Diceros bicornis minor: one gene and its partner. Each later gene encodes a partner of the first gene's protein in a complex. Links are inferred from orthologs where the notes say so. Each region holds a gene or a part of one and is shown on either strand. Other genes may lie near its edges.

Region 1 (16,302 bases):
ATGTATTGTGTATACATTGAAGTGTATAAAACACTTGTGTATTTTGTGAATTAGTTCTAGCGAGAATTAGGAAAACTGAAAATTTCCTGAATCTATGGAGAAGTTTCCGCTTTGAAATTCTGGGTACAGTTTAAATGTTTAGCATTTGACACATTTTTTTATATAAGTGATTATATCAGTCACTGTGTGTGTGTGAGAGAGAGAGAGAGAGACGGAGACAGAGACAGAGAGACAGAGAGATTTTAAGGAACTGGCTCATGAGATTGTAGGGGCTGACAAATCCAAAATACAGAAGGCAGGGTAGAAACTCAGGCAGGATTTCTATGTTACAGTCTTGAGGCAGAATTCCTTTTCCAGGAAACCTCAATCTTTGCTCTTAAGGCCTTCAACTGATTGGATGAGGCCCACCCACGTTGTGGAGCGTAATCTGCTTTACTTATTGAAGTCAACTGTTGTAACTGTTAATCATTCTACAAAATTAATCATTCTACCTTCATAGCAACATCTAGAGTAGGGTTTGCTCAAACAACTGGGAAAAATAGCCTAGCACACATAAAATTAATCATCACAGTGATCAATTTAATTAAATGTTATTATCTAGATAAAATGTGATTTTTATAAATTTTCTTGGTTGACTTTCGCGGGTTTTAGTTTGCAAACCATCAAAACAATAAGTATTTGTATTTATTTAAAGGCCTCTTATAAATTGGAATTCTATACTAGAGATTAGAGTTATCTGCAATTAAAATAAAGGTAGTAGACATATATATGACATTTTGGCTCATACATCAAAGGAGGATTTCAGACAATCTCAAGGGCAGCCTATATTTACATGTATCAAGCTTTGCTATTCATATGGCATTCCAAGGTATCAAGATAATCTTTAATCGTCCTAGTGGAAAATGCATGACTGTAACTGGTAGAGGGTCAAGATATTACTAACTAGGAGAATCAGCTGGATTTATACAAAGCATACTTTTTATATAATAAAAAATGATAAGGGAATGTTTTGTCTTTTTAAAATAAGAAAAACTTGCAGCTCAGAAAAGGGAACAAAGTAAATTTAAAAGCTTTCACCTAAGGAATCTCCTTTAACATTTCTGAAATGCCAATTACATGTATTTTGGGCCACTCACTATTTCCCCACAGATCACTGGGCTCTGCCATTTTTTTTTTCAGTCTTTTTTCTCTGTGCTTCATTTCAGATAAATTCTGTTTCTATTACGTCAAGTTTGCCGATCTTTTCTTCTGTAGTGTCTAATCTGCTGTTAATCCCATCCAATTAAATTTTAATTTTAAATACTGTATTTTTCACATCTAGAAATCCCATCTGGCTCTTTGTTACATTTCCATTTCTGTCCTCATTATGCTCAGGTGTTCTTTTGCATTCTCGAGCAGTTGTGCATATTTATAATAGCTGTTTTAATCTTTGCTAATTGCATCATCTCTGTCATCTCTCAGTCTGTTTCTACAACCAATTTTTCTCCTTGTTAAGAGTCACATTTTTTTTTCCTTCTTTGTTTGTCTGGTAAGTTTTGATAGGATGCCAGATGTCAGGTGTTTTACTTTATTGAATGCTATATTTTTATTATATTTCCTTAGAGGATATCAGATTTTTTCTGGCAAGCAGTGATGGGTGAACTTCCTTGTTCCTGCACTCCTTTACGGTGGGCCTCAGTGGCCTTTACCCTAGGAATCGTCCAGCTCTCTTCTAAGTTGTGGCTCTTCTGGGATCTCCTCCAAATGTTCCGTGTATTCAACGAGATTATTCCCACCTCTGGGAACTCTTCGTGTGAGAGTTCCCCTACACTTCTTTCCTCAGAAGTTGCTCTTGCCTGGCCTTAGGAGGTTTTATCCTAGACGTGTGCAGAGCGGTACTCAGATAAAGACTCAAGGGGTCTTGTGTGCAGATTTCTGGAATTCTCTCTCTGCACAGCTTCTTCTTCTTGGATGCTCTGCCCTTCACATTCTAACCACCTAAACCTCCCCAAATTCCAATCTTTTTATCCTCAACCAAAGACATCTGGCCTCTGTTGGAGGTCTCCTTCCCTACACCACTATCCAGAGGAGGCTTCCTGACAGAGGGGCACCTCGCTCCTTTCTCTTCTCTCGGGGTTCCTCATTGTGCACCGCCTGTGCTCTAACACCCGAAAATACAGGGAGTAGAAGATCGTGTGTGGTGTGTTACCATTTTATTAAGAAAGACACATGCGTGCGTATGTTTATATTACAAAGTTCAGTGGAAATATAACACATTTTAAAAATAGTTACTTGGATTTCTGATTCTAGCCATGAAAGAGAGATAGGACCTGGAATTATCTTCCCAGTGTAAATAACTAGACAAGTAGAAAAAATGGTTCTGTATGGAGATAGTCAACACTCCTTTTTATAGCTGCGTAGTACTCTGTTTAGTGGATATATCATAGTTTATTAAACCAATTCTTGACTGATAAACACTCGGGCGATTTTCAATCTTTTGCTATTGTAAATAATACTGAAATGAACAGCCTTGTAAAAATATATTTCATAATTCTGCCAATGTATCTCTGGCATAAATTTTTAGAAGTGGGATTGATGGGTCAAAAGGTAAATGTACACAGAATTTTGCTGGATATTGCCAAATTTCCCTCTGCAGGTGATTTATTATTTTTTTATTCCACCAGGAATGAATGAGTGCCTACTTTCTCACACCCTCGCCAATAGACTGTGTTGTCAAATTTTTGGATTTTTGCCAATGTAGCAAGTTAAAAGTGGAATACTAGCGTAATTTTAATTTGCATTTGTCTCGTGAATGAGGTTGAGCATCTTTTTTGTGTGTGTGAGGAAGACTGGCTCTGAGCTAACATCCATTGCCAATCCTCCTTTTTTTGCTGAGGAAGAACAGCCCTGAGCTAACATCCGTGCCCATCTTCCTCTATCTTGTATGTGGGACGCCACCACAGCATGGCCTGATGAGCGGTGCATAGGTCCATGCCCAGGATCTGAACCTGCGAACCCCAGGCCGCCGAAGGAGAGCCAGCGAACTTAACCACTATGCCACGGGGCAGGCCCGAGATCTTTGTACACAGGTAAAAACGCCTGTGTTTCCATGTTTATGAGTTGCCTATGGCTTTCCATAGCTCATTCTTCTGTAGGATTTTTGGTTTCTTAGCTCTCTATTTTTGGAAACTTGTTTTCTGGGCTGTGATATCAGCTGCAGATATTTTTCTCGGTTTGCTATTCTCATGCCTAGTTTGCTTATGATGATTGGCCATGTAAAGACTTTTTATTTTTATGTTATCAGGTTTATCTATTTTTTCCTTTTTGCCTTTGGATTTTGAGTCACAGTCCTGAAAGTTTTCCTCACTCCTAAGTTGAAAAGAATTTACCCATATATTGATTCAGTACTCACAGAGTTTCATTTTTCATAATTATATGTCCTATCCATTTGGAAGTTTCCTTGGTGTGTGGTCTGGGGAATGAATCCAATGTTATCCTTTCCATATGGCTGTGCAGTTACTCCAACACTGCTTTTTAACAGTCCTTCTTTTCCAATCTTCTAAAAGGCTGTTTTTATCTTATACTAAATTTTCATACGTCATTGGATCTATTTCTGGATTTTCTATTCTGTCTCGTTGACTTGTCTATTAGTGAACCAGCACTATTACTTTTAGAGGATTTATGTCTTTAACAACTGTAGTCTTATATAAAATAGGCGTGACATCTATTAGGGACAAAGTCACAGCTGCTGTTCCTGTGCAATGACCTCAGCTGTAGCTGCTGGCCTCTGACAGCTCTTGGTTTCTGCCCATTTTCTGAATCTGGACCCTAGCCTTGCATCGATGCCAGGAGCCACAATATCTTGGCAAAAAATTCATATTTTGGTTTTGGTAGTCAGTGTTGGTTTCTGTTGCTTACACAAAAACGTTTACTGTAGCCCTTGCTATATACTTTTCATGATTTGTTTATCTAAATTACAGGGATGCCTTTAATAGTACGAATTATAGTCAAAGTGAGGGAAGAAGAAGGTGACACTTTGACAGTCCAGGAGATGAGTATGTGGGCAGAGCATGGGGCAGTGTGGGGCAGCTCAGGGCAGCGTGGGGCAATATTAAACAGATGAGGTCTTGGTCGTCCTTTCACCAAATAGGAAGAGAACTGTTTCTCTGTATTAAAAGTGCTGCAACCTATGAGGGCAGAAAGTGAAATTAAAATATTGGCATCTATACTTTTAGAGGAAGCATGTCAAAGATTCCCTGAGAATCATGCCCGCTCAAGGAGACTTGAGATGCCATGAGATCTCTGTACTTCCCGGTCCAGGCTTGGAACAGGAGGCAGAAGCCTCCTGACTTCCTCTGGGTTAGCTACAGGCCCAAACTTCTATCCCGAGCCAGAGTTTTCTTTCTAAAACAGAGGTGGGATATTACTCCCCTGCTTAAAATCCTCGAATGTCTCCTGTTCTTATAGCATGAAGTTAAACTTTCTTTCATGAAGGTGCTTCAACATCTGGCCTCAGCCTCAGTTTGCAAACTTGTTTCTTAACAACCCCCGTATAAAATGCGCACTTTAGTCGTAGCAGCAGTGGTAGACCTAGCTTCACAGTGGTAGTAAGAGGAGCTGTGGAGGGAAGTAGTGGTGGGGGGAGAACTATGAAACCATCACTCCTCCTCCTCTTTATACGTATTAGCTTGAGCTACTTGTGGTTTTTCTAGAACTCAACAGACCATCTCATGTTTGTACTTTTTTGCAGGGCTAGAATTCCTCCCTCTCACCTGGACGGGTGTAGCTCTGACTCACTTTCTGCCTACATCCTATTGCAGCTCAGTCTCTTTACCTGTCTGTCTCTCCAGGTAGGAGTGAGCTCAGTTGGGATCACACTTTATTAATTGTTCAATATAGTGCTAAGTGAATGAATACGAATCCCTCAGTTAGCAGTATGGCAAACAGCTTTCTTTCTTTTCTTTTTTTTTTTTGTGAGGAAGATCAGCCCTGAGCTAACATCCACGCTAATCCTCCTCTTTTTGCTGAGGAAGACTGGCTCTGAGCTAACATCTATTGCCAATCCTCCTCGTTTTTTTTTCCCCCAAAGCCCCAGTAGATAATTGTATGTCATAGTTGCACATCCCTCTAGTTGCTGTATGTGGGATACGGCCTCAGCATGGCTGGAGAAGCCGTGCGTCGGTGCGTACCTGGGATCCAAACCCGGGCTGCCAGTAGCGGAGTGCGCACACTTAACCACTAAGCCACGGGGCAGGCCCAAACAGCTTTCTTTCTATGTCTAGTAGGATTTTCTGCAATGATGGAAATGTTCTGTACCTGCATTGTCCAATAAAGTAGCCACTAGCCACATATGGCTATTGAGTACTTGAAATGTGGCTACTGTGACTGAGTATTCAAATTACATCAAATTGATGTAATTTTAATTAATCTAAATTTAAATAGTCATATGTTTTCTTTTCTTACTTTTTACTTAACTTCCACCATTTCCTGGACCCCCTTGTCATTTATACTTAGGCTTAAATATTTGCTAGATTAAGGTGATTCAAAATAAAAATGTATGTGGTAAGTTTGCAGTGAAAAACCCAAGTAAAAATATTTTTTGTCTAAATGTTTTAACAGATTGGATTCCATCCTAACTTTTACAGAAGTCATTCAGTATAACAGTATACTTAATTCAATGAAATCACTTATTTCTGATATTTTAAGTCTGTTATAAGTAATGCATTATTTTAAAATGGTTTATAATAGAATTCAAAGTGAGCTTTTGTGCTAAAAAATTTGGGGATGTCATTCTCCACTTACATGGCTTCTGCAAGAGGAATATTAGGACAGATTTCTATACTCACATGAGGGGGATCATTTTACTCAACTTTAGAATTTATGACAATCTCTTTAAGTGTTGAAGATCCCAGTACTCGTGTAGCTGAACTCCAGGACTCTGTCCATTTTTGAGCATTTATTGAATCACTTAAAGATGGAAAGAATCCCAAGAATAAGATCTCTAGATGATAAAACTGCTTTATCAAATCCTATAGGCATATTGAAGGAATCTTGTTCTTAAACTTATTTAAATTCCATCTCTGGGGTTGGGGAAGGGAGTCTCTATTTGTGTGAAACTCTTCTTGTGAATCTGATCTGCGTCCATGGCTAAGAACCACCCTACAGGAGTTTGCTGAGGTGGGTGGACAGGGAATTTGAAGCTACTAGATATACAAAGGAACCAGGTTCATCTTCCAGGAGCACAGATTTTTCTCAGAGGATTAAGAAATCCAAAACATGATTTTGTATTAAAACAAATTAGCATAAATTATGAAACAAATGGCAAACTTCAAGATAAAACAGAGACATGAAACAAACACCAACAACATTCACCTTGTTGACTTGGGCCTCAGGTTATTCCCCAAGACTTCACTCTCCCTGGCTCCACTGGAAGAGTTTGGAAACATAGCTACCATATACAGCTTCCAGAATAAGAAGTAAGAATGGTCTTTTGACATGATATTTTAATTCCAAATTTGGCAAATAGAGTCTGTCTCAACTTCTCATCACCCTTCTTTTAAACTTTATGCAGCTGTTAGATGAACTGGTGGCATGTCCTCACACCAGAACCAAAACAATATTCTCTGACTCGATGATCTTATCCCTTCATGCTGATAAGGAGCAGCGGATATAGCACAGGCTCTGGATTGGAACCCTGGTCTTGTTACTAACTCCTTGTCTCACGTCGGGTAACCTTTTCCTCTGGGCTCTTCATTTAGAAAGATGGAAGACTTGAGATGTGCACATAAAGCAGTTAGCATGGCAATGGGCACTTACTATTATTTTTTTAACTAGAAATGGCCCTAAGACACATTTGACCATGTTATTACTAGAAAATGAACATAGCATCAGTTACAGTGGTCGTAACTTATTTGTGCAAGAAAATGAGCCACTTGTAGTTTCCCACAGTCTAGAGATTCCACTCATTGCATCTCCAGAGTGTTTTAACCTGTTTTTGGGTCCTCCATATTTCCTGGAATTAGTTGCTGAATCTCAGACTTGGATTCTAGGGCCTTGATGAGATTCCTGCCCCCTGTCTTTGGTGTGACTGCCTCATAATTGTGGTATGTTTTCCCATCAGGAAGCACAGGACACCTGCTTATCTCTTTCTTAATGATGTTAGTGACTGTTGATGATCCATACCTGGATCCAAACTCATTAAAAGTTGCAAAATGGTGAAATTCTAACTACCTCAGACTTTTTATATGTATTAGCTGAAATATTTCTATAAAGAGAAAGTTCCTTCATCTACTATTTGGTTACCCAGTGGTATTTTCATTCTTCACACATTTCAATTCAGTATATACACATTGAATGTATATATCAATACCCATCAATACACATTAGAACTTCAAAGGATTTTCAAATTAATCTAATTGAACACTTTATTTTATGGATGCAGAAACAGGCCCAAAGAGGCTAAATTAGTTTTCTGATTTCTAAAAGCTCACTGGTAGTTATCAGAATCCCAACAGGAAACAGGATCCTTTGAGGTGGGTTTATTTACAAAAAGACTAATTGCAAAGGTGTGGAGGGCGTACAGGGAAGCCTCAAGGGCTTCTGCAGGAACTTGGGGCTAGCGGCTTCAGAGCTGTCATCATTTCTAGGTGCCAAACAACAAGGTGAGGGACAGTTATGAGATCTTGTAAGAAAGTGAGTCCTGCGGGATCTGCCACCTTAGAAGACCAATGACTTTCTGTTGAGGAACAAGCAGCCTGAGGTGACTCAGAGTCACAGTCTCCTTCCTGCTTCAGATCCTCTGCCTGGACTCCCCACTGACCAAACCTAGTTGGTAAACAGAAAGCCAGGGAGCCATTGATTTAATTCATAGAGATTAGGCTCCTGAGGCTGAGACTGGGGTTGGGAATGGAGAGTGGGTCTGGAGGGGAAATTCGGGCACAGATGGCAACGGAGGATTTGGAGTCATATTCTTGTTCCTCTTCCACCATTCTACCATGCATTCAAAGGTTTGCCGACATCCACAGATCTTGTATTTGTAGAAAGAACTGACGGCCCAGGATGATGTTAGCTTCCTCTGGAGTGAATTTTGATTCTCGAATGCCTGGAATTACCTTAATCCAATTTCAGGCTTTGAGACTTTTTCCTGACGTCTGCAGGCAGGGTTGCTGTCCATGTAAGGGTCATTTTACTGCTAGCTCACTCCTACTTCTAGGCTAGCTCATCCTTACTTTTGTCCTTTCCAGGTGTTGTCAGAAATGCAGTCCAGCCTCTCAGATGTCTAATGAGAGCCACAAAAATTGCCAGGCCAGGAGCAGCCCCAACCAAGGCACACCGTCTGGATCCCTGGCCTCTCTTCCGGAAACTGGCCGGGTAGATCGTCCTTATCTCATTAGTTCTTTGATGCCTTTATTTTAAATTTTGTCCAGCATTCTTAGTCTTCTTCAGTGAGAGGGTTGATGAGAATTACCTAATCTGTCATAATCAGAAGCAGAAGTCTCTCCCTTTTATTTCTCCAGCTCTTTTGTTACGAAAATTCTTTGTCCTACCTGCAGGTGTTCTCAAGGTGTCCCAAGGTCCATCTCTAAGTGGACGTGGGAGGGACTCTGAGTGAGAATATAGTCCTGACCAGTAGACTTCAGTTCTGCTGCCATGCCTTTTTAATGTGGGAGCGCCTTAGGAGCAAGAGAAGCAGTCTTTCAGCATTGCATTGGGGTTTGGGTGCCAGTAATCGATAAAATCTTTAAAGTTATTAAATCAATTCAAAGTAAAACAAAGCAAATAAAGTAAAATGAACATAAAGATTGTGTATGGAAAGTGGCTCTGAAAAGACCTGGAAGGGAAGCAAAGGTGAAATGGTCTACAGAGTTACGGTTTTTTAGAAAATAGCTTTATGTATAATCTTAGATCTTATTTGTGTAGTAAAATGCTATTTGAGAATTTAGGCATTTAAGTCTTCTAGACATAGTCCTAATGAATTTCCAGTGTTTATTGTTTTGGGTTAGTATGGGGTGGAGGGTTATCTACTCCCACAGGAGTTGGAGATCTGACAAGTTGTCGGGAATATTAGAAGGTGTGTATCTATAGTAGCCCATCAACATTGTTCAGTGTGATCACTGATCCACTACACATCTACTTTCCTAATGACACCCAGTCCAAAGGCAGCTGTGGATCACGGAGATTCCAGCTGACACGTAGAGGAGCAAGTTACTTACTGTAAATTTACCTCTATCCTTTTACAAGCCTTGAGAAAAAGCTGTCACTTTGCTTTGTGGAGGATACAGTTGTGCAGCTGCGAGGGGTTTTCCACATTACCATTTCCTTCCTTCTTTTAACTCTTCACTACTCAACTGTTTTATCCTCCGTTTCCCCCAAGCTTGAATGTAATTTGCATTCTTCTTCTACCGTTTTCACAGAACTCATTAATCTTGCTTCCTGAGGATGGGAAGTCCAGACCTGGTACTTTATTATATTGCATCTTTCACTGGTTTTCCGAAAGTTATAGCATTCTGGGGAAGTTCTCTGAGAACTTACACATCTGTTTTTGCCCCGCATATAAGTAGATACTTTTTGATCTCTCTTAAGCCATCCAGGCATTTTATTTTTCTTGTGGTGCAATTTAAAAGATAGAATAATTCACTTAATCTCCCTCCTTCCTCTGGCAGATAATGATTTGCCAAGTCCCAGTCTTCCATCTCGGGAAAGCATGTGGCGGTGGAGGGGAGTTTTTAGAACCTAAAGGAGCATGCTAACTCGGTCGGCAGCTGGAGCTAACCGATTCCTCCTTGGTGACAGCACCGCTGTTGGAGACTTCAAAATGGAAAGTACCAGGGGCAGACCTGATCCGCTTCGCCTGCCCTGCCGGGCGCCCCTGTCCCCCCTCAGCCACCCTCCCGCTCCGGCCCCGGCCCGGGCCCGGCGGGCATCCCCCCGGCGCGTCCTCCCGCGCCCCGCGGAGCCGAGCGCACCACCGCGCGTCGCGGGCAGACTTTGGCGCGCTCCGTCGTGCGTGCGCCCGGGCGTTCGCGCTCCACCGCTGAGGTGGCAGCGGCGCGCGTCGGGCCGGCCCGCGCTCCCCGCAGCGCCCCCCACGGGCGGGCCGGCGCGCGGAGCCCGACGAGGGGGCGGTCGGAAGCGGGGCCGGCGCGAGCGGCCGCGGGAGCCGAGCGGGCGAGGCGGCCGGGCGGCGGGAGAGCGCGGCCGGAGGAGGAGGAGGAGGAGGAGGAGGAAGTGGCGCGGGGCGGCGGGGCGGGCCGTCGGGCGGCAGGTAGCTCCCCCGAGGGCGCACGGGCAGGGCCGCCCGCGCTCCCACCGCACCCTCACCCGCGGCGGCGGCGGCCACGGAGGCGCCGAGGAGGGGCGAGCGGCCGCCGGGCGGCGGCGTCCCCGCGGCGGAGAGGGCGCCCGAGAGGCGGCGGCGGCGCGGCGCGGAGGGCGGGACGCGCGATGGCAGCCGCGTAGCCCGGCGCGCGCGGAGCAGCCCCGAGCTGTGGCCGGCCCGGCGGCGCGGCGGCGCGGGGGCCATGAGCGGCGAGGCGGCCGAGGGCCTCACCTTCTCCGTGCCGCCCCTCGCGCCCCCGGGCCTCTGCGCGCTGGCCGAGGGCGGCCGGCGGGGGGCGGCGGCCGAGGGCCAGGACAGCCCGCTCGCGCCGCCGCCGCCGCCGGGCAGCTTCTGGAACGTGGAGGGCGCCGCGCCGGGCCCCGCGTGCGCGAGCGGCGCCCCCCGGAGCCGGGGCAGCGCGGGCGGCGGCCGGCGGACCACGGTGGCCTATGTGATCAACGAGGCGAGCCTGGGGCCGCTGGCGGCGGCGGAGAGCGAGGCCCTGCAGAGCCTGCGGGAGGCGTGCGAGGCGGCGGGCGCCGCCCTGGAGACCCTGCACTTCGGGAAGCTGGACTTCGGGGAGACGGCGGTGCTGGACCGCTTCTACAACGCAGGTGCGTGTGCGCCCCGGGTCGGGGCCGAGCCCCCGGCCGCCGCGGGGGAGACGCTTCTCCGGGCAGCCGGCGTGCTTCCTCCTTCTCACTCTTGCCCCGCTCCCGGCGCTGCCCGCTGCTCCCGGCCCCGCTCCTGGGGAGGGGGGTGCCGGTGCACGGGCCCCGGGGGAGAGGGAGGGGGTGCCGGTGCACGGGCCTCGGGTGCCCTGCGGGACCCGCGACCGCCGCGCGGGGCTCCCCCACAGAACTCTTGTCCTCGGCGCGCGCACATGCCCCGGTCTGTCCTCCGTCCAGTGTGGTGCCTTCCCTTCCTTCAGGGTGGCCCGTGTTTCCTTCTGGACGCGCCTGTGACCGCTTTAGGTCACGTTCTCGTTCTCTCGGGGTAGTTTTGGAAGAACAGACACCGTGACTGATGCCGCGGAGCCGGCTGCACGCGGAGTGTGTCTGTGAATCTGCAGGTCCTGTCATGATCTTCCCAGCTCACTTTACCTTGAGCTCAGTGGCTTGAACTTCCCATCTCTTACCAATTCGAAGTTTCAAGTCGTCACTTCCAAAAGTCACTTACACTAAGGCTGTGTGGTAACTCTATTAAGACTTCGGTGAAAGAACCAGGTCTGTTTTTTATTACCCCATATCCCTTGTTGGGCTGAAAAGTGTTTAATTTAACATTGTTGAAAACGCGAATGTGCTATTGGCCATTAAAGTGATTGCTAGCATAATGTATGAAAAAAGTGTATCTTTTCATCCTATGACAGATTTCAGGGTGTTACTGCAATTCTAGTGACTGAAGCAGTTAGCTCTCTGTTAGCAAATGTAAGGAATAATGATGTGTTATTGAAACTAACCCTTAGCACTCTGTGCAACCAATATTGAGAATATGTGCATATTTATTAAGTGTGGGGGGGAAAATTTGATTTAATGGTGGCTTCAAACAATAAGGTTCTTGCACTTGTGATCACGTAAAAGGTTTTATATTCCAGTCCGGTTTCAGTTCTGATTCTCCTCAGTCTCTCCAGAATACCTGAAGTAGGCTTATGTCAGTTTTGGAATTCAGCCAAAGCTGAATATTTTAAGAACAAGAACTTCTTCATGCTAAGGAAGCCAGACTAAATAAACTAGGACTTTCTGGTTCTGCTGTTTTTTTACAGACTTGGTCTTCATAACTGAACAGGAGTAGAATATATTATGGCTTGGTTCTTTGCGTAGCTTGCTATAAAAATTGCATAAGCATAACTTTTCTAAAAATTACAGCACTCTTTATTTTTGGATTATAACTTGGAAGAAGCTTCAAAGAACTGAAAGATACGTGAGGAAAACACCCAGCTGAGTACTGGGCCTATTTTTATTGCACTGATAGATTGGGTATTTTTTATAGGGTTCTATAGAAAAATCTTAAACGCTGAGCTACTTTGAAAGAAAGTTTCCTAACAAGGCTCACTTAGGGTTTATTCTCCAAGTACTATCTCTGGGAAAGGGAGAGAAAAAGATTAGAAGGGACCAGACATTTGAACTGTATCTCATTTAATTCTCCAAATGAGCCTGTAATGGAAATACTTACTCTCCTTCTAAGGTGAGAAAACCAAGGGATCCACAACCGGCCCTGGGACTCAGAGGTCATAACTAGTCAATACAGGATTCCGCTTCAGGAGCTGACCCTAAAAGGTCATGCTCTGCCCTTGCTGCCTCCCTTCAGCTGGGCTGATTTACTCTCAGAATCAAGGGAAAGTCTCTATCTTGGATCATGTGACGCAGAGCTGGCAGGGACCTTGTGAGCCATGTAGGTGCAGTGTGGAATCGAGGGGAGGACACGCTCCGGGAAGGCCTGTGTTTCTGGGCCAGCTCTGTCCCATCCCATTGCTTTGCTCAGCCGCTCAGGCTCCAGTTGAACCCTGCCTGCGTGAGTGACATGAGCTTGGAGCCCTCTCCTTCTGCGTGAAGATGTGATGAATGAAGATGATATGTTTTGTCCGAACCCCTTATTTTTCTAAACTGACGTCCTCCCAGCTTGAAGGTAGTAGAACTTGTCTTCCTAAAACAGTGCTTGCTCCTACTCCACCGGGGTTGTGCAAATTTTCCTGTGAAGGGCCAGATGGTAAATATTTTAGACTCTTCGTGAGGTCTCTCCACAACTACTCAGTTCGGCCATTGTTACTGGGGAGCAGCCATTAACTGTACCTAAACAGATGATTGTGGCTGTATTCCAATAAAACTTTATTTTTTTTAATTTTTATTTATTTATTTATTTTTGTGAGGAAGATTGGCTCTGAGGTAACATCTGTTGCCAATCTTCCTCTTTTTGCTTGAGGAAGATTGTCGCTGAGCTAACATCTGTGCCAGTCTTCCTCTATTTGGTATGTGGGATGCCACCACAGCATGACTTGATGAGCGGTGAGTAGATCCGCGCCCAAGATCCGAACCAGCGAACCCTGGGCCGCCGAAGTGGAGTGCAGAACTTAACTACTACACCACTGGGCTGGCCCCAGAACTTTATTAATGGACACTGAAGTTTGAATTTCATATAATTCACAAGATATTATTATTTTTATTTTTTTCCCAATCATTTAAAAATGTAGAAGCTGTTCTTAGCTTGCAAGCCATACAAAAACAGGCGTGGCAGGATTTTGGCCCCTGGGCCATGCTGACCTTTGCTCTGCATCCACTGCCCCCACTTGTAAGTTGAATCAGGATGATGTGGTGGGACGAACACTGTCCCGCAGGTTCAGTTGGAGTTTCCATCCTGGCTCTGCTCTGAACCACGTAATTGTGAGCAAGGCCCTTTGCCTCCTGCAGAGGCCTGTAAAACTGACCAGGGGTGGAAGTGGAGGGGAAATTGAAGTAAACTTCTTATATTCCCAGATTTACTCCTGTAAGTCTGCAAAGGTAAGGCAGCCTGGCACGCTGGGACAGAGCTTTGGAACAAGTTTCAAGATCTGGATTCTGGTCCTGGTTCTCTAATATGGAACAAGTCATTTAAAATCTCAGAAAATAGTGGAGGGGTGGAATAATTGGTGTCTCAGATTCCCTCCAGCTCTCAAATTCTGTACTTTAAAATTGCAACATTATTAATACAGAAGGAATCATTTCAGTCCATAGGGATGGATGAACTGCTTGTGTATATCATGTTCCGGCCCCAGACGTTGAGAGTTGATGGGGAGGGCTGGCTGTAGCGAGGCCTTTGTGAGGGTCCGCACAGAGCGCCCTGGGCTCCCAGGAAAAAGCCTCTAGAATCAACATCGGGAGGTGGGTTCAGAGGTGACCCCTACACTGAGACAGAGGGATAACAAGGACCCCAACATTGAAAAGGGAGTGTTGATGTTGGAATAGCTCCACTTAATGGAATGGATAAGAACTCAAAGCTGGTTACATTTTTATAGGCTTCCCTGTCTACGTGTCCTGGAGTCTTTTTAAAGAATAGATTGCAGCCAAAGGTTTTCACTTATTTTCCCTGTTTATTGTGTAACTGTAATCTAGTTTCTTCCCTGACTACACTTGTCATTTTTTTTTCATTCCCGTTCTGAGGGGAAACTACTATTGTCACAGCTTTTATGAAGATTCTTTATATTTACATATACAAAAGCATCATTCCCTCCCCAGGCCCCTGCATGGTAGGCAGTCAGTTTCCATAAAAGCCAAGAGATGTCAGGGATACAGAGCTACTCCTTTCAGGTAGACAGACCCAAGGTAGAAGCGTCTCATAAACATTTTTTTAGTGAACACCAGTTCTGTGAAGTATAGCAGGAAGAGGCTTGATTATTCCCCCATTTTGCTCATGGGAAAACTGAAAGTAAAGAGGTTATATTCATTCTTTCGGGTTAAATGATTTAAGGTTGCTTCTTGGAACCAGGAACACACGTCTCCTTAGAAACAGTGTTATAAATGGTGGTTGGATTCTGGGAATAGCCTGTGAGAAGCTTGTTAACTCAGTGTACGCGAAGTGTGAAACCCATTCTTTAAACATTCAGGAAAATTAAGTTCCTGAAACCTGACACCGAGACTTTGAATGCACCTTTCCTCGTGTTAGACTCAGCAACTTTTGCTTTCATCTAGCTTCTGGTAGCATCTAGACCAGACGTAGGAGTTTCACTTTGGATTGAAGGTGAGGAGAGGAGGAGGTGCTGTGGTGAGGTCGGGAGGAAGGAGGGATGCTGGGCAGGGAGAGGAAGGATGCTCGAGGAGGAGGGAGCAATGCCAGCAGGGAATCTAGTAACACTTTCTCCCCTTTCAACTTTCTTCCCCTCCCGACCTTCTGCTTATGGCCTTGACTTCCTGCTGATGTGAGACCCAGGGACACTGCTCTCCTCAAGGCCACCTCACTGGCTCTCGGTGGTCACGGGATGGTGGGCACGGGATGAGAACAGCCGCCCACTTCCCCTTTCCCTGCTGCAAGGCACTGTGTCCATCTGCCTGGGTGTTCCCTTAGCCAGGCTCGCTGCAGATTGCAAGCTCTTACCAGCCTTGGCCCTGTAGCAATAGTGGGTAACAGGAAGGAAGCATACACTGGCTGAAATCTTGAGAACTTAGCTTTTATATTTTCATCTCTGTTACGTTCCCGCTTTACTTGGGCTTGTGATGAAAGTCAGCCATTTAGGCCATGTCCCTGGAGAGGCGCTGGAACTTCCTGGGCTTTGGTTCCACTTGCTTCGGCACGGCTCCTTAGGACTCCAGTCTTATTGACGACAGACCAAAACAAGCATCACCCTTGTCTCCTGTCTGTCCCCGGCTGAGAAGTTCTGAAAGTCTTCCAGCCCACTTCTGCATTTTCTGCTTTTAAATCCAGTGAGCTTTCCTGTGTGCCATCTCAGATACTTAGAGGGAGAGGGTGAAGTCAGCATTTTCTGAACAGTGGTTCCCATGAACTAGTTTAAAAAAATTTGAAGACCAACGTGTTTGTCAACATTTTATTTTTCCGAGTAAGGATAGTAGAAAGAGAGAGAGAATTCGACAACTGGCCGTCTGCTGCCGTGATTTCTCAAAAAGGAAAAGATATTTTTATGTTAGATTAGGGAAGGCATAACCTTAGAATAAGGAATAGCTCTTTGCATACAGTTACTGTGTGGAAGAACTCATTGTTGAGGATTCTTTTTCTCATTTCAGCATGGATGAGTGAAAGCTTTATCCTGCTGGTCAGCGGAGCCGTGTTGAGGACCTCTGGTCATACCACTCACAGCCCTTCCCTTCTTCCAGTCACTTCTTCACACGAGAAACAGACCTCAGCAAAATAGCAAACGTGGACAAACTCATCAGGAGAAAGTCTAGTTAGGAGAGATTTAAAGAAATACTCCTGTGGTGCTCTGTGCATGGTTTTCTTTGGGCTTTTGACTTTTTGCTGGCACACCATTGGAGCACCTGTGCCCACCCCCTGTGAACCCGGAGCACTGTGCTTCCTTTTGC
Region 2 (16,428 bases), on another chromosome or scaffold:
ATTAGTTTTTTTAACTAAACGTTGAGTTTTGAGAGTTTTAAAGCATACTTTAGGGCAGGCCCCGTGGCTTAGCGGTTAAGTGCACGAGCTCCGCTGCTGGTGGCCTGGGTTTGGATCCCGGGCGCGCACCGACGCACCGCTTCTCCAGCCATGCTGAGGCCTCGTCCCACATACAGCAACTAGAAGGATGTGCAGCTATGACATACAACTATCTACTGGGGCTTTGGGGGAAAAAATATGATAAAATTATAAACAAAACAAAACAAAACAAAAAAAACATACTTTACACTGTAGGCCTTTCAGATATGTGGTTTCAATATTTTCTCCCTGTCTGTAGCTTGTCTTTTCATCCTTTTCAAATGGGCTTTCACAGAACAAAAGTTCTTAATTTTAAAGCCTAATTTACAAATTTTTTTTGTTCTGTGGATTGTGATTTTATTAGCATCAACATATATCTTCTGAACTTGTCATTGTCTCCCTAGGATAAATTTCTAAAGTGACCTTGAGGAAGGATTTTAAGTGTGATACAAAAGCTATACATCGTAAAGGGAAAGATTGGTATAGTTAATTATATACAAAATTTAAAGCTTCTATATAGTAATTGATAAAAAATAAAATTTAAAAGACAAATACTAGCTAGCAAAAAAGTTAAAACATATATATCAAAAGATTAATGTCCTTAATATCTAAAGAGCTCTTGTAAATGCACAAGAAAGAACTGTATTAGGTCTAATTTGTTGCATGATATAGAAAATATAATTAAGAATAGATTAAGCCAACTTCTGCTTCTACCCATGGGGGATTATGTGGTACAGACTTGTCCTCCCGATATAAACAACTAGAAAGCTGGACAAAATATACGAAACAACTCTTTCCAGACATTGAGACAACAAGCAGTGCAGGACTTTGATCCCCAGGAGAAGGGAAACAAACGTGCAAGAACCCTGTGGTCACTCAAATTTTTGTCTAGATGTCAATTCAGTACTATGACACGAGGAGGAGCAACTTGACTGGGTGCTGCTTTGAAAAGAAAATCTCTAAAATACATTTTTAGGGATAATTGGGGAAATATTAATGTGAACTGAAAATTAGACGGCATTAGTGAATTATTGTTAATTTTCGTAGTTGTGGTAATAGATCTTGGGTTATGTTGAAAATGTCCTTAATTTTAGGAGAGACATGCCGAAGTATTTAGGGTGAAGCGATATGCTGTTTGCAACTTACTTTCACATAGTTTATCGCAAAAAACAGAGCCACTGAGCCCATATAGGTCAGTGAAATACGGCAGAAGTTTACCAGTGATTAAATCCGGAGGGTGTGTACAAAGATCATCATAACAGTCCTTCAATTTTTCAGTATCATAAATTTTCTTTATAATTTGTGTGTGTGGGGGGAGGAGTGTCATTTTTATTCCCCCTTCCTCCTTCCTGCTGGCTGGAATGCAGACATGATGGCTAAAGCTCAAACAGTCTTTTTTTTTTTTTTTTAACTCACAACTGCCTTTTAAAAAATAACAGCTTTATTGAGACATAATTCAGATAGTATATAGTTCTCCTATTTAAAGTGTACAATTCAATGGCTTTTAGCATATTCACAGAGTTGTGCAAGCACCACCAGATCAATTTTAGAATATTTCCTTCACCCCTCCCCCAACAAAAAACCCCTTATACATATTAGCAGTAACTTCCCATTTTCCTTCAACCCCCAGCACAGTTGTAGGCAACTGCTGCTCTACTTTCTATCTCTACGCGTTTGCCTATTCTGAACAATTCATATAAGTGGAATCATACAATATATGATCTTTTGTGACTGGCTTCTTTCAGTTAACATAATGTTTTCAAGGTTCATCCATGATGTAGCATGTATCAGTACTTCATTCCTTTTTATGACTGAATAATAGTTGATTGTAATATTTTGTTTATCCATTCATCAGGTGGTAGACATTTGGATTGTTTTCACTTTTTTGCTAGTATGAATAATGCCGCTATGAATTTTTGTGTACAAGTTCTTATGTGGACACATGTTTTCATTTCTCTTGGAGTGGAATTGCTGGGCCATATGGTAACTATGTTAACATTTTGAGGCACTGCAAAACTGTTTTCCACAGAGGCTGCACCGTTTGGCATTCCCATCAGCAATGTATGAGGGTTCCAATTTCTTCACATCCTCACCAATACTAGTTATTACCTATCTTTTTGATATAGCCATCCTAATGGGTGTGAAGTGGAATCTCATTGTGATTTTAATTTGCATTTTCCTGAAGGCTAATGATATTAAGCATCTTTTCTTGTGCTCATTAGCTGTTTGTATATCTTCTTTGGAGAAATGTCTATTCAGATAATTTGCACAGTTTTAGTTATTTGCCTTTTTATTATTGAGTTATCAGTTGTTTATATATTCTAGATACAAGTCCCTAATCAGGTATATGATTTTCAAATATTTTCTCCCATCCTGTAAGTTGCCTTTTCCCTTTCTTGACAGTGTCCTCTTAAGCAGAAAAAATGTCTAATTTTGATGAAGAACAATTTGTCTATTCTTTTCTTTGTTGCTGTGGCCTTGGTGTGATATCTAAGATACCACTGCCTAATCCAAGTTCACATAAAGAGTCATTTTGAACTATGAGGTGGGAAGCTAAAGATGGCAAAGTAGCAGGAGGGTAGAATCCTGGATTTCTGATGACTATGAAGCTGCATGCTAGCCTTAGACTGCCAAATTCTGGACTTACTTCACATGAAAGTGAGATAAATTATCTTATTTTTAAAAATCAAGAACTTCTGTTTCTTAAAATACACCACAAAATGAAAGAGTACAAGAAGATATTCGCAAACACATATAACTGACGTTGGTTTAGTATCCATAATGTATAACAAACTTCTACAAATCAATAACAGAAGACAAATAACTCGGTAGAAAAGTGGGCAATAGAAATGAGCAAGTATTTTACAGAAGAGGAAACGTGTGTGGCCAATCAACATGTGAAAAAATGCTCAACCTTTTTAGTAATCGTAGAAAAGTAAATTTCATACCCACAAAGATAATAAAATTTTAAAAGCCTGAAATATCAAATGTTATCTATGATATGGAGCACTGGGAAATCATACCCTGCTGGTGAGAATGTAAATTTGTATAATCAGTTTTGAAAACAATGCTTTGAAGATCCTTATGAAGTTAAGGACTAGTTGTAGTGGGAGTAACTGAAAAAGCAAGCTGGAAAGATGGTAGGTTGTAGTTAGAAAATGTAATGTTCGAATTTATGATTTAGGAGGCAGAGAAGTTTGTGTGATGACAAAGTACAAGGTGTGACCTTGCCAGTGGTTGGCTAACGTGGAGGAGTGTTCATTGAAGATAATAAGGTGTGTCAGCCTAGGCCCAATCAGGACAGAGAAACCACAGAGGGATTTGAACATGAAAAGTTTAACGTGAAGAATTATTAATAATAACAGGAGATAGGAGTAAGAGGGATTGAGTAGTAAGAAGTAAAGGGAACTCTAAAAGAATATAGGAATAACAGATATAATATATAGTAGCAGACAATATAAAAATAATATATAATAGTCACTACCCCTGAAGCTGTGATAACCCTCCTCTCTACCCGTGGCTGAGATCCAGGCCTTGTTAGAGAAGTTGCTGTAATGCCAAGTCAGTGGAACTTGCTGGACATCCACCCTCTGGATCTTGTTGAAAACGTGCCTCTCTAGGGTGCTGGTTTCCTGTTCACAGGGTGGGTGTCTCACCAGAGACATTTTGCTGCAGAACCACCCAAGCGTGGTGCCAGGGGCAGGTGTTACCTGCTGTGCATTGAGGAAAACAATGCTGCAGAAGATGAGCACTAGGAAAGCTGGGAGCTGGTCGGAGCCTGTGGAGTGAGCACACAGGAAACAGGAAGTGAAACCCCTTCTTCCTGCAATGTCTCTCCACTGCCAGCTACTGATAAATCTGCATATCCTGCTAGCTGGCCAAGTAAAACGTATTTAAAGGCCCCAGGTCCCTTTTCACAGAACAAGCATAAAGAGGGGCTGAGAGGTAATACATCAATTACCCATAGAGGAGGTCAAGGAACTGAGTGGTCATGATGTTGGACTGTTGTACTTGTGGTTATTGAAATGACCCAGGTGTTGGCAAAAATTGAGGTGGAGTGGAAGGTTATAAACCAACTTGTTTCTCCACGTGTGACCTTGGTCCACCTGCCTCAGAATCAAGTGGGATACTTTAATAATACAGATTCCTTTGCCCTGTTGCAGATCTTCTGAACTAGGACTTTGGGGAATAGAGCCCCCAAATCTTTTTAACAGATGTTCAGTAGATTTAAAATTTTAAAAATCCATTATGAATATTTCAGACACATAAAAGGAAAGAAAATAGTATAACTGGTACCAATGTACCCAGCAACCAGTTTTAACAAATATTAACATTTACCTCACTTCCTGTAGATCTCTTTATTTTTAATAAACTGTTACCTATTTTGGCTCAAGTTCCACTCTCATTCTTTTCTCCTTCCTTTCTCACAAGAGGATTATTTTTGTACATTGTTGTTTGTAAATCACTGCTTTAGGTGACGGAGAGTCTGAGGATTTTTGAGCAGGGGTATTACACTATCAAGAGGTACGGAGCACACAACTGTGCTCTGCCAGAGAGTTCATTAGGATGAGAAGATGGAGGTGGGAAAGCCAGTGAGTGAGGGGGCAGGTTTAGTGGCCCAGGGTGTATGGTACTAAGAATCGGAAGTCAAGTGACTGGCCTTTTCTCTTTTTCTCGTGCTCTTGTGTGGAGCCTGCTACTTGTTGTGTCACTGTGACCTCTAGTCTTTCCACCCCCCACCCTATTCCCCCAGTTCAGCCCCTCTTTTCCATCATCACTTGCTTCCCTATGCAGCCTGGGTTCCACGGTTAGTCATTTCACCCAAATGCTTGCTACTGTCCTGAAATCCCTTGCTCTCTTGACATTTGACCATACCAACCCCAACTTCCAATCTTTATACTAACAGGACTACTTTTTCTGCCTTGAGGAAATAACCTTGCCTTTCTGGTTTCACTTTATTACTTATAGTAATTTGTTATAGTCAGTGTCCAAAATGAGACAGATTTTCATCCAGGTGACCTCACTGGGCTCAAGCCTATTTTGGACTAGGCTGGGCTCCTGAAATTACCCAGGCTTTGTTCTTCACTAGAAAACGTAAATGATACTGCAATAATACTGCCAGATTTGTTTGTCTGTAGAGTACAATTTTGATGAGAAATTGTGAAAACTGTCCAAATGACATACAAAAATGTGTTTAAGTAGGTCTGACTTGGGAATTTCATTTATCCACAAATAGATCTTATATTTTTTTCTATTACATAGATTTGGTCACAGGTCAAAAGTCAATTACAACTTTTGATTGACCATTCTTATTTTGCCTATACATATAATTACATCAAACCAAACATTTAGATGTCAAATCCTCGTTATAGAACTACTAATAGACACAACAACATAAATCAATCTCAAAATGATAATGTTGAGTGAAAGAAGCCAGGTAAAAGAAATTACCATACTGCATGCTTCCGTTTATATAAGATTCTAGAAAATGCAAACTAATCTATAGGGACTGAAAGCAGATTGGTGGTGGCCTGGGCTTTGAGGGGAAGGGAGGGAAGAAGGGATTGAAAGGGCACAAGGGCACTTTTGGGGATGATGGAAAGGTTTATCTGGAGTGTGTGTATGTGTACGTGTGATTGTATCCCAGATGTATACATATGTCAAAATTCACTAGGGCCGGCCCTGTGGCTTAGCGGTTAGGTGCTCGCACTCTGCTGCTGGCGACCCGGGTTCGGATCCCGGGCATGCACCGACACACCGCTTCTCTGGCCATGCTGAGGCCGCGTCCCACATACAGCAACTAGAAAGATGTGCAGCTATGACATGCAACTATCTACTGGGGCTTTGGGAAAAAAAAAATAAATAAAATTATAAAAAAAAATTCACTAAATCATACATTTTAAATATGTGCAGTTTATTATGTGTCAATTATACCTCAATAAATAAAAAATCATTAGCAAGGAAAAAGTGTTTATTTTCAGCCATTAAAACAAACAAAAAATCCTTCTTATAATCAAGTAGTGCCTGTACCCAGAAGACCGTATGAGTACATTCATTCATTCATTCATTCAACATTTTTGAACATCGACTGTATACCAGGCACTCTGCTGGGAACAGTATTAAACAGGACAGATAAGACCCCTGCTCTAGGGAGGTTACATTCTGGTGGAGGAGACACATCAACAAGTAGTAATAGTAAAGCGTGATAAGTGTTATGACAGGGCAAGAAGGGGAAGCTTTGCAAACATTTAGCAGGATTATCTAAGCTGATTATTTGGTAGTAGATGCCTAAAGCTGTGTTGAAGAGAATTCTGAAGCTTAGCAGGATCCCATGCATAAGGAGGGGCAGTGATGGTGAGTACCATGCCTTTGCCAAGCTAAGGCTATGCTGTTCAAGTTGCCCTTATCATAGATTTCCTAATAGTATGAGTATTTCAACTGGTTATGAAAGTGTTTGAGAATAGTGAAGATCTCTTGTTATAGACCAGTTTTTTTTCAGAGCAGCATTTTTGACTCAAAGTGTTTCTTGTTGGGGAAACATCAACCTTCCAGACTGTAGTGTAGACAGAGGACAAGTGCTCTTTTATTCTCTAAAGTTCTGTTTTCAAGTGTTTTTTACCCGCTTATATGACTGTGTCTGAGCCTTTGCTAAGGGTATTGCAGCTGGATTGTGTAGTGGAACCATGTCCAGAAAAAGAATTGCTAAAGAATGCAAGTAAACAGGATGTCAGATGTTATCCTTAGCCTATTTCCCTAAACATAGCTTTTTGGCTGCAAAGTAAAATGCCACTCTTCTAGCTTCTGCTTATACACAGTGATGGCTGACAGCAGGCACAATCTTCATTTGCTTGGCATGTTGTCACCATGCAACTCAACGTGTTTTGCAAGGAATGATCGTGATACACCATCTCCGTGAGACAGTATGAAGACATCCGGCCGTTTCTTGGAAGAACTTTCTCAGCCTACCTTCTTTGAGCCTTGTTGTGCCAGCACAGCTCCCTACGAGGCTCGAATCTGCCTGACCTAAGAGCCAGTTGGCATCTTGCTCTTGACAGAAGCCAGCTTTTCACTGGGGCTAGACTATTTATTGACAGCGTTTTCCCCGACTGGCCCATGAGTGGCTCATTTCTAAGGTCCTCTGAAGTGCTGGCTCACCTCTGTTTTCCAAGAGCACTTGCTTCCTTCTCTCTCCTCCCTCCCCAGCATCCTCCCCACTTCCTTCCCTTACAGCTTCTTGCACTGTTGGGGTTTTGTGTGTGTGTGTGTGTGTGTGTGTGTGTGCTTCTTCTTTTTTATCCTAACGAATTTGTTTTGCAGATTTTGAAAAAGAAAACGAGTGCTATCCATGATTTTTACATTCATTCTATTTCCACATCTTTGAATGTGATCTCTGTGGTTTTAAAATTCCATAATTTGAGTGGGTTCCACCGTTGTCTAAGAAAAGTTGTTTCAAAGCTTTGTTCTGCAAGCCCCAGAAGAGAACTCATAAAAAGGAAGACAACAGCAGATGCAATCGCGGATGTGGCTTAGTCCTTGCAGCTGCCCCTGAGAGCTGTTTGGAGCGTACAGTCCTCAGTAATGAATCCAGAAGAGCGAATCGTGACATGGCTTATATCCTTGGGAGTTTTAGATTCCCCCAAAAAGACCATCTGTGATCCGGAAGAGTTCTTGAAGTCCTCGCTGAAAAATGGTGTAGTGCTGTGCAAACTGATCAACAGACTTAGGCCTGGCTCTATAGAAAAGGTAAGGGAAATTTACAGTACCTTGAGGATTGCTTACCACCAGAGAGCAGCAATAATATAACTCTTGAGATGTTCTATTGGGCAGGTCACGGGACTCTCCTTTAATCTCTAAGAGTTAGACATTCTTTCTTACTGTTTCTTTAGTTTGAAAAAGTCAGAAAATGAAATTCTATTGTTTAGTAATTGTCCCAGAAATATCAGTGTACTAAAAACCTGATACCAGGGGACAAGAACACCCGTATCACAAGCTTGCTCTGTCACAGATATACATGTCACAGCTCCTTGTGTACCGAGGGCATGTTCTGAACTTGGGGTACATATGAGTCTGTGTAATAATGGGGTGATTTATAACAGATATTGATGGTGTTTATTGGCAATTTGACTAAAATCAATGTAGATTTTCTTCTCAAGGAGATAAAATATCCATTGAAAGAGAGACTATTTAGCAAGCAGGAAAAATAATCCAAAATGTCACATAAGCTTTGTTAAAACAATAGAAATCAAATATATGTTTCAAATGCAACATGTGTTCAAAGTGAAACTAACGTTACTCTCTTTTAAAAATCCAAAATTTTTATTGTTGAAAACCCATGATCAAAAGGCTGGATAATTTCTAAAGTAGGCACCTTAAGTAAGTTTAACTGTAGAGTCCTACAGTTATTTTCTTAAAGTCAGTGGGGACTGTGACTGTGAGCATAGTTCTTTTGCCTTCTTGAATCAGTTTGTATTTTTATTGAACAGATTTATTTACTTATAATTTCTTAAACTTGAAAAATGGTGATAAAATATTTATAAAATAGAGACAACTGTGATCAAATGTAGAGAATAGCAAAGGGGAAAATATAATTTTAATAAATTGTCATGAGGAGGAGGGAGCAAAGTAATCAATTGAAAGCAAGAACCAAGCTCAAAAAACTGTCTGGGTCTCTCTAATTTGCTATTACCACACTTGGCAAAAAGCATGAGAAAAAGTTTGTAAGTAGAGATCACTTGGGACTAAAGGTTTGGTGACATTTGAAACAAAGACCAACCGTTTAGATTTTTGCATCACTTCCTTCGGTGGTTATTTCTCTTCCTGGATTGACAGCAATGTTGCCCCTTGCCTTAAAGAGCCTACCTATCTAGTCATCAATGAATGAGAAATATGGTATGCTTGGCATGGATGACAGTCTCCAAGTGACATTTGACTATATTTCTCTAGTACTGTCTGGAGCCCCAAACCGAAGCTGACTGCATGAATAACATCAATGACTTCCTGAAAGGATGTGCGACCCTTCAAGTGGAGGTAAGCCTGCCCAGGTTGTCTTCCTCGTTGTCATCATTTTTCGCTCTGCTAATTGAGATGGTGGTATAGTAAAAGTGCTTGGTTTATTTTCATTGTTAAACAGAGGAAGCATTGTATGGAAACCATGGTTAAGATTGGTGGTCCCCAGTGGTGGTTGCTAGTTTGTCTTTTCCAGAAACCAGTTCCAAAACAAAGCAAAACAAAATCAAAACTCAAAATACGATATCTTTTAAATACAGCATCCAAGCCGTGAAAGCAGGCTTCCGGTGACAGAGCTTGTGTGGATGTGAGAGCAGGCTTCCGGCGACAGAGCGTGTGTGGCGTGCTTCCCTACTAAGGGGAACCAAAAGTGGGCCACTGGCTGCTGCAGAGGGTCACTGCAATCCCCCTGAGTTTGGAAGAGAGGAAAGTCTATTGTCACTTTTTCCCACTTTAGAACACAGACCTTGAAATCCTGAGAGAACCTGGCCCTGAGGTGGAAATTGAATATTAAATTACATTGCATTATCTTATATTATATGCAATATACACAACATGTATAGGGGTTGTTGCTGAAAGGGAGGTGGTACTTTTGCCTGTGTGTTAAGAAGTTACTTAACTTCTCTGTGCCTCAATGTTTTTATCTGTAAAATGGACACAATTATAGCTACCTCATGAGGTTGTCTTAAGGATCAAATGAGATACTGCATAATAATTTAGGCTAAGAGCTCCAACTTCAAAAGATCTATGAGATAATGTATGTAGAGTGTTCATCACAGGACCAGGGACATAAGAAGTGCAGACTTGCGTTAGTAGTACTTTTTGTGGAGAAGTACTAGTAGTGGTTTGAGCATGGTCTCTGATGCTAGACTGCTTGGGTTCAAATCTCAGTTCTCTCTCACTAGTACCTTTGTGACCTTGGGCATGTTACTTAATTATGCCTCTATGCCTCAGTCTCCCTAACTGTAAAATGGGAATAATAGCAGCACCTATCTCATAGGATTGGTGTGTGAAATTTCAATGAATCCATGTCCTCGGAAGAGTGCCTGGCACATAGTAAGTGTTTTCCAAGTGTTAGCTATTAGTAGTAAGTAGTAGTACAAGTAGCTTTGCCCTAGATCAACTTTGCTTGCTTCAGAATTTTTCCTCAAGTTAGCCAGAGCATCAGGCTATGCACGTCTCAGAATATTTTATTCTGGGTTTCCCTATTGCCTAATTATAGCTCTGTGTGTGTGTGTGTGTGTGTGTGTGCGCACGCGTGTGCGCACATGTATGTGCATGGGCACGTGTATGTGTGCATAGGCACGTGTGCGTATGGCTTTTGAGGTAGGTGTACCCCGAGACCACTCTATATCCATTACAGAATGATATGTATTACAAACAGATCATGGTATTTTCTTTTTTTATTTGTCAAATAAAAACATGGTGAAGTTGCCAACAATTTCTGCACTCTGAAGCTGCCAGAAGGTATGCTGAGCTTCTTTGCAGTTCTAAGAATACTAGATGATACAGAAACACCTCCTGGGTCTGGAATTGTTGGAGAATGAGTCGTTTCACAAAAGTGGATTTTTCTGATAACTAATGCTTACTACTTTAAGCAACAATGCTTAAGATATTTTTATCTATTTTGGATATAAATCTTTCTAAAAAGTATGTCGTAATTTTCATTTTTTAAATAAAAGGCATTGGGCATATTTTTTATTATTTTTTGATAATTAAGGCTGGCCTGAACATTGTATGAATATTGTAATAAGGCAATCTCTGGCATCACGGTTAACCACATACCTTCTCTAGTTTCACAGACTTGGGTTAGAGTCTTGGCGTGGTCAGTTACTGACTGTGTGACTATGGGAAACGTTACTTGGCCTCTCTATGCTCCAGTATTCTCATCTATATAATGCAGACATTAGTGATATCTACTGCATACAATTGTTTTAAGGATCAAACGAGATAACGCATCTAAGGTACTTATATAGAACTGCACATAAGACATGCATAATAGCTGCTTGATGTTACTGCAATTATTAGGTAGTATTGTATGCAAAATTATGCCTGTATTGGGAGCTATATTGAGGCACTCCTAGAACCCTGAGGGAAGTCAATAAAATCAATACATAAGGAATGAGACTGAAAGCTGAGCTGGGTGCACCCAGCAGCCAAGAATACTGACCATCCAGTCTCAAGCTCCTGGGTAGCTAAGAGACAGACCTAAACACATATATTTGAAAATTTTAAAAAATTATTTTTTATTGAATATATTTGACATATAACATTGTGTAAATTTAAGGTGCACAACGTGTTCCTTTGATACATTTATATATTGTAATATGATTGCCATTGTAGCAATATTGATCACATTACATAATTATAGTACAATATTGTTGTCTATAGTCACTATACCGTGCGTTACATCACTGTGACTTATTTACTAGTCGTGCAAGTTTGTACACTTAAACAACATCAATTTTTGTCCTCCCAGCCCCCATTCCCTGGGAACCACCATTCTATTCTGTTTTTTTTGAGTTTGACTTTTTGAGATTCCACATATAAGTGAAATCATACAGTACTTGTCTTTTTCTGTCTGACTTATTTCACTTAGCATAACACCCTCAAGGTCCATCCACTTTGTCACAAATGGTACAATTTTATCTTTTTTATGGCTGAGTAGTATTCCATTGCATATATATACCACATCTTTTTTTATCCATTCATCCGTTGATGGGCATTTGCGTTGTTTCCATATCTTGTCACTTTAGACAGAGTATCTCTCAGGTCTAAAGTACCTAACACAGGGGCTGGCCCCATGGCTTAGCGGTTAAGTTCACGCGCTCTGCTACTGGTGGCCCGGGTTCAGATCCCGGGCGCGCACTGACACACCGCTTCTCCAACCATGCTGAGGCCTTGTCCCACAGACAGCAACTAGAAGGATGTGCAGCTATGACATACAACTATCTACTGGGGCTTTGGGGAAAAAAAAAAAGAGGAGGATTGGCAATAGATGTTAGCTCAGAGCCGGTCTTCCTCAGCAAAAAGAGGAGGATGAGCATGGATGTTAGCTCAGGGCTGATCTTCCTCACAAAAAAAATAAAAATAAAAAAAAATAAAGTACCTAACACAGTGCCTACTATAGGACATGCTGAATAGATTTTTGTTGATGCCATAAAACTGTTAACGTACAAAAAGCAAGAAGAGCAGGGCTTGACTATTGCCCAAAACACACTATCATTTATCTGAAGAAAGAGTGCCGGCTTGAAATGGTCGGTTTGGAAATGCAGAAAAATGAAGCCAGGGATGCAGCAGCACACAGACGATTTGAGTATCAACTGTGGGGCGTGGTGACCGTGTTAAAGGGCCGTTGTCTTCTGACCCTTTAGGTGCCCAGTTGGCCTCTATCTCTGTGTTCTCATAGGACTATAGTGTCCTAGGGTCTCTAGAGATCACACAACTTGCAACTGGTCAGGGAAGTCTGCTGAGACACCTGGGGAGAAAAGCACTCTCTAAAGTGCTTCCCCAACTTGGACAATACCCTTAGAAACACAAAGGTTTTTAAAATTTTGATGAAGTCAAATTCCTCTATTTTTCTTTTGTTGCTTGTGTTTGGGTATCATATCTAAGAAACCATTGCTTAAAGCAAGGTCATGAAAATTTACGCCTATGTTTTCTTTTAAGAGTGTTATAGTTTTAGCTCTTACATTTAGGTCTTTGATCCATTTTGAGTTAATTTTTGTATATAATGTGAGGTATGGGTCCGAATTCGTTCTTTTACATATGGATATCCAGTTGTCTGAAAGCCATTTGTGGAAAATCCTATTCTTTCTCCCACTGAATCAATTAATGTAGCAAGAGTCCTCCAATTTTGTTCTTCATTTTTAAAATCATTTTGGCTCTTCTGGATCCCTTGTGTGCCCCTATGGATTTTAGGATCAATCTGTCCATTTCTGCCAAAAAGCAAGCTGGAATTTTGATAGGGATTGTGTTATCTGTATATCACTTTGGGGAGTATTGCCATCTTAACAATATTAAGTCTTCTGATCCGTGAATGCAGCATGTCTATCCATTTATTTATTTCCATTTATGTCTTTTTAAATATCATTCAACAATATTTTGTAGTTTCAGTGTACATGCCTTGTACCTCCTTGGTTCAATTTATTCCCAAGTATTTTATTCTTTTTGATACTATTGTAAATGAAATTTTCTTAACTCCATATTTGGATTGTTCATTGCAAGTGTATGGAAATACAATTGATTTTTATATATTGATCTTGTATCCTTCAACTTTGCTGAACTTGTTCATTAGTTTTAATAGTTTTTTTTTTTTTTGCTTCCTTGTGGTTTTCTTGTACAAGATCTGTACATATGTATATCTGTGCAAAGAGACAGTGTTACCTCTTCCTTTCCAATTTGGATGCCTTTTATTTCATTTTCTTGCCTAATTTGCCTGGCTAGAGCATTCAGTACAATGTTGAATAGAAGTGACGAGAGTGCACATCCTAGTCTTGTTTTTGTATTAGGGAGAAGGTTTCAGTCTTTCACTATTAAGTATGATGTTAGCTGTGGGTTTTTCATAGATGCCCTTTATCAGTTTGAAGGAGATCCTTTCTATTCCTAGTTTTTTGAGTGTTTTTTCATAAAAGGGTGCTATATTTTGTCAAATGCTTTTTCTGCATCTGTTAAGATGACTATTGGCTTTTGTTTTTTATTATATTGCTATGTTGTTGTATTACATTGATTAATTTTCATATGTTAAATCAATTTTGCATTCCTGGGATAAATCCCAGTGGGTCATGTTGTAATATGCACATAGATATTTGTGCACATCTGTGATTATTCTTGAAGCATGTTTCTTCATAGAAATGAAATTACTGTTTCAAGATTTGATAGATAGTCTCAAATTCCTCTACAAAAATGCTATATGAAGTTATACTCCCACAATAGTGTAGAAAGTGCCTTCTTCCTCATGTCCCTGGCAGCACTTGATATTATTTATCTTTAATGTTTGCTAAAATGTTGGGTGAAAATGGTATTTCACTTATTGCTATAATTTGAATTTCCTGATTCCTAGTGAGTTTGGACATCTTCTCACCCCCTTATAGTCCATTTGTATTTCCTTTCCTGTGAACCAAATATATCTTTCTTATTTGTTTACAAATGATGAAGGCAGGGAGGACACTCAGGCCTCAAGAGAAAATCTTCCAGAACATATGGGAACATCCTCATGTCTAGAGTGTCACTAATGTGAGCAGGAAGTCCCTTGACAACACTATTCTAGCAATGGTAGTTTTGTTTTTGTTCCGCCTTTGAACTTGGTGGGAGTCAGGGACATATACAGTTCTTATGATCATTCGAGTGGCCTGGGTGGTACCTCTCTGACTGCATTGTCCTGGCTCCAGCCCCATGAATGATTGGTCTATGACAGCTCTAGTCCTGTGGTTTTCCTTTCAGCCAGGCTTTCCTCCTGTCTCATCCCCAGCAGGTACTCCTGCTTTGTCCCCTGCCACCCTTACTACCAGCCCATTGCCAGGGACACCCTGCCATCTCCTATTCTGCTCCTGGGCCAAGCCTACTTTGTAAAAAGATGTTTGCTTCATGAAGGATATCATTGAATGTATATGAGGCTCAGTTAGTGCTTCTTTCTCTCTTTCTCTTTCTCTCTCTCCCTCTTTCCTTTTCTCTCTCTCTCTCTTTCCAGTACCAGCTGGTATCAGTATGGCTTTTTCTTTGCCCCCACCCCCTCATTGCCTCCTGTCTCCCTGAGTCACTCCATCTGCCTTGTCACTGGAACAGCATGGGTGCCCTCCCCAAAGTAGGGCTTGTGGGATGGACGATTTGCCACTTCCCAGGGGCTGCTCTGCAGGGAAGCAGTTCTGGAAGGAAGGCAGCTCTACTAATGATCATGAGTCAAGGCTAAATCTCGGGTAAGAGAGCTCCAGCTCTAGGAGAGCAGAACCTCCCTGGAGGAGTTAGGCACAAGGCCAGGAACTAACCAGGAGCTGTAATGGGTATCAGCAGACCTTCTTTCAAGCCCTGGCCCTGCTACTTGTATGAAGTCAGAGTCCCCTTCTCTAGGCCTTGGTTGACTCATCCGTAAAATGAAGAGACTAGAGCAGGGATTGGTAATGCCTAACTGTTGGACACTTTCTAACTGGCCTGATTCCATCAGTTTCCACGGGGCAAAGCTTTGTATATTTAGCTGCTCAATTTGAGCCAGTGGGAAGACTAAAGAGGATTTTGGTAAGTTTTTTTTTCCCCCTATTGAGCAAATCTGACACTCCTAATGGAATTTCCATGAGTTACAGTAAGTGACACACATGACTCTGGCCATCCTACTCTTTTACCGACTGCATTGTATTTCTGTAAACATTGGACTTCAAGTAAGGTTGTAAATATTTCCCATCTATCACGAACCTTTTTACTCTCCCTCATAGAGCCTATTTGATTTGGGGCCTGTTATCAGAGAGCCCAGGAAGGACACTCAGGATAGTTCAAGGAAGGGAGGTATGTGGAAAGCGCTTCCTTGCTTGGGTGTCTCAGCGGCTCATCATAGAGCTTGGAGGTTACCGAGTTGCACCTGGGGGTGGAGAAGGAAGTGGGCCACCAGGAAAGGCTAGTCTGTGAGGCCCGGATTCCCGCCCGAGGCTCTGGCAGTGGCCCGCAGCAGGCCAGGCGCCGGCAGCCCTGGGCTAGGGACTGAACCAGGCGGCAGCAGCATGCGCAGTGTGGCCGCCGCCGCTACACCGCGGCTTCTGTTGCTGCCACGGCTACCCGGGCTGCCGCCGCTGCTGCTGCTGCTGCTGCTCTGCCCTGCGCCGCTGTCACTTCCAGTTCCTACTTCAGCGATCCAGGTCCGGGTCATTGCTTCCCCACCGCTGGCCGGGTCCCTCCAGGCCGCTCTCTCTCTCGGGCTCTGGCTCTGGGCAGGAGGGGGCCCGCGCGGGCAGCTGAGCGGGGTCCGGAGGAGCCGCGAAGGCAGGTTCCCTGGGCAGCCGCTCCCCGCCCGCCGCCGCCGCCCCGCGCGCCCTGCCCAGCTTGCCGCCAGCGCACCCAGCGGGACGCGTCTCCCGCACCCCGCCGTCGGCCCGCGGTCCTCCGCCCGCCGAGCGGCAAGGCTCTGGAAGCAAGAACTTGGAGGCAAGAATCTAGCTTCCCTTTAGATAAAAAAAAAAAAAAAAAAAAGAAAGGCATTAAAAAAAAAAATCCCTGGACTGGAAAGGTTGCGGGCGCGGCACGGAGTTTGGAGACGGGCGCCCCCTCCTCGCCCGCGTCCAGGAGCAAAGTTGCAGCCGCCCCTCCCCGCCCGGGCGAGCCGAGCCCAGCTCTCCAGTTTCGCCCTGGTGGCGGCCGCGC

Evidence for each region.
Region 2: MAP3K5 (region 1) and ARHGEF6 share a complex: the UniProt entries of both Homo sapiens proteins name them as parts of the cytoplasmic complex. The link is inferred for Diceros bicornis minor from reciprocal best matches to the Homo sapiens genes MAP3K5 and ARHGEF6.

The regions. Positions count from the first base shown.
Region 1 is NC_080762.1:1,820,019-1,836,320, forward strand, and holds the start of MAP3K5 (mitogen-activated protein kinase kinase kinase 5), read left to right. Parts: upstream 1-10,257; 5' UTR 10,258-10,499; coding exon 10,500-10,911; intron 10,912-16,302. UniProt on the Homo sapiens protein: Serine/threonine kinase which acts as an essential component of the MAP kinase signal transduction pathway. Plays an important role in the cascades of cellular responses evoked by changes in the environment.
Region 2 is NC_080781.1:124,403,258-124,419,685, reverse strand, and holds the start of ARHGEF6 (rho guanine nucleotide exchange factor 6), read left to right. Parts: upstream 1-7,599; 5' UTR 7,600-7,656; coding exon 7,657-7,821; intron 7,822-9,021; coding exon 9,022-9,105; intron 9,106-16,428. UniProt on the Homo sapiens protein: Acts as a RAC1 guanine nucleotide exchange factor (GEF).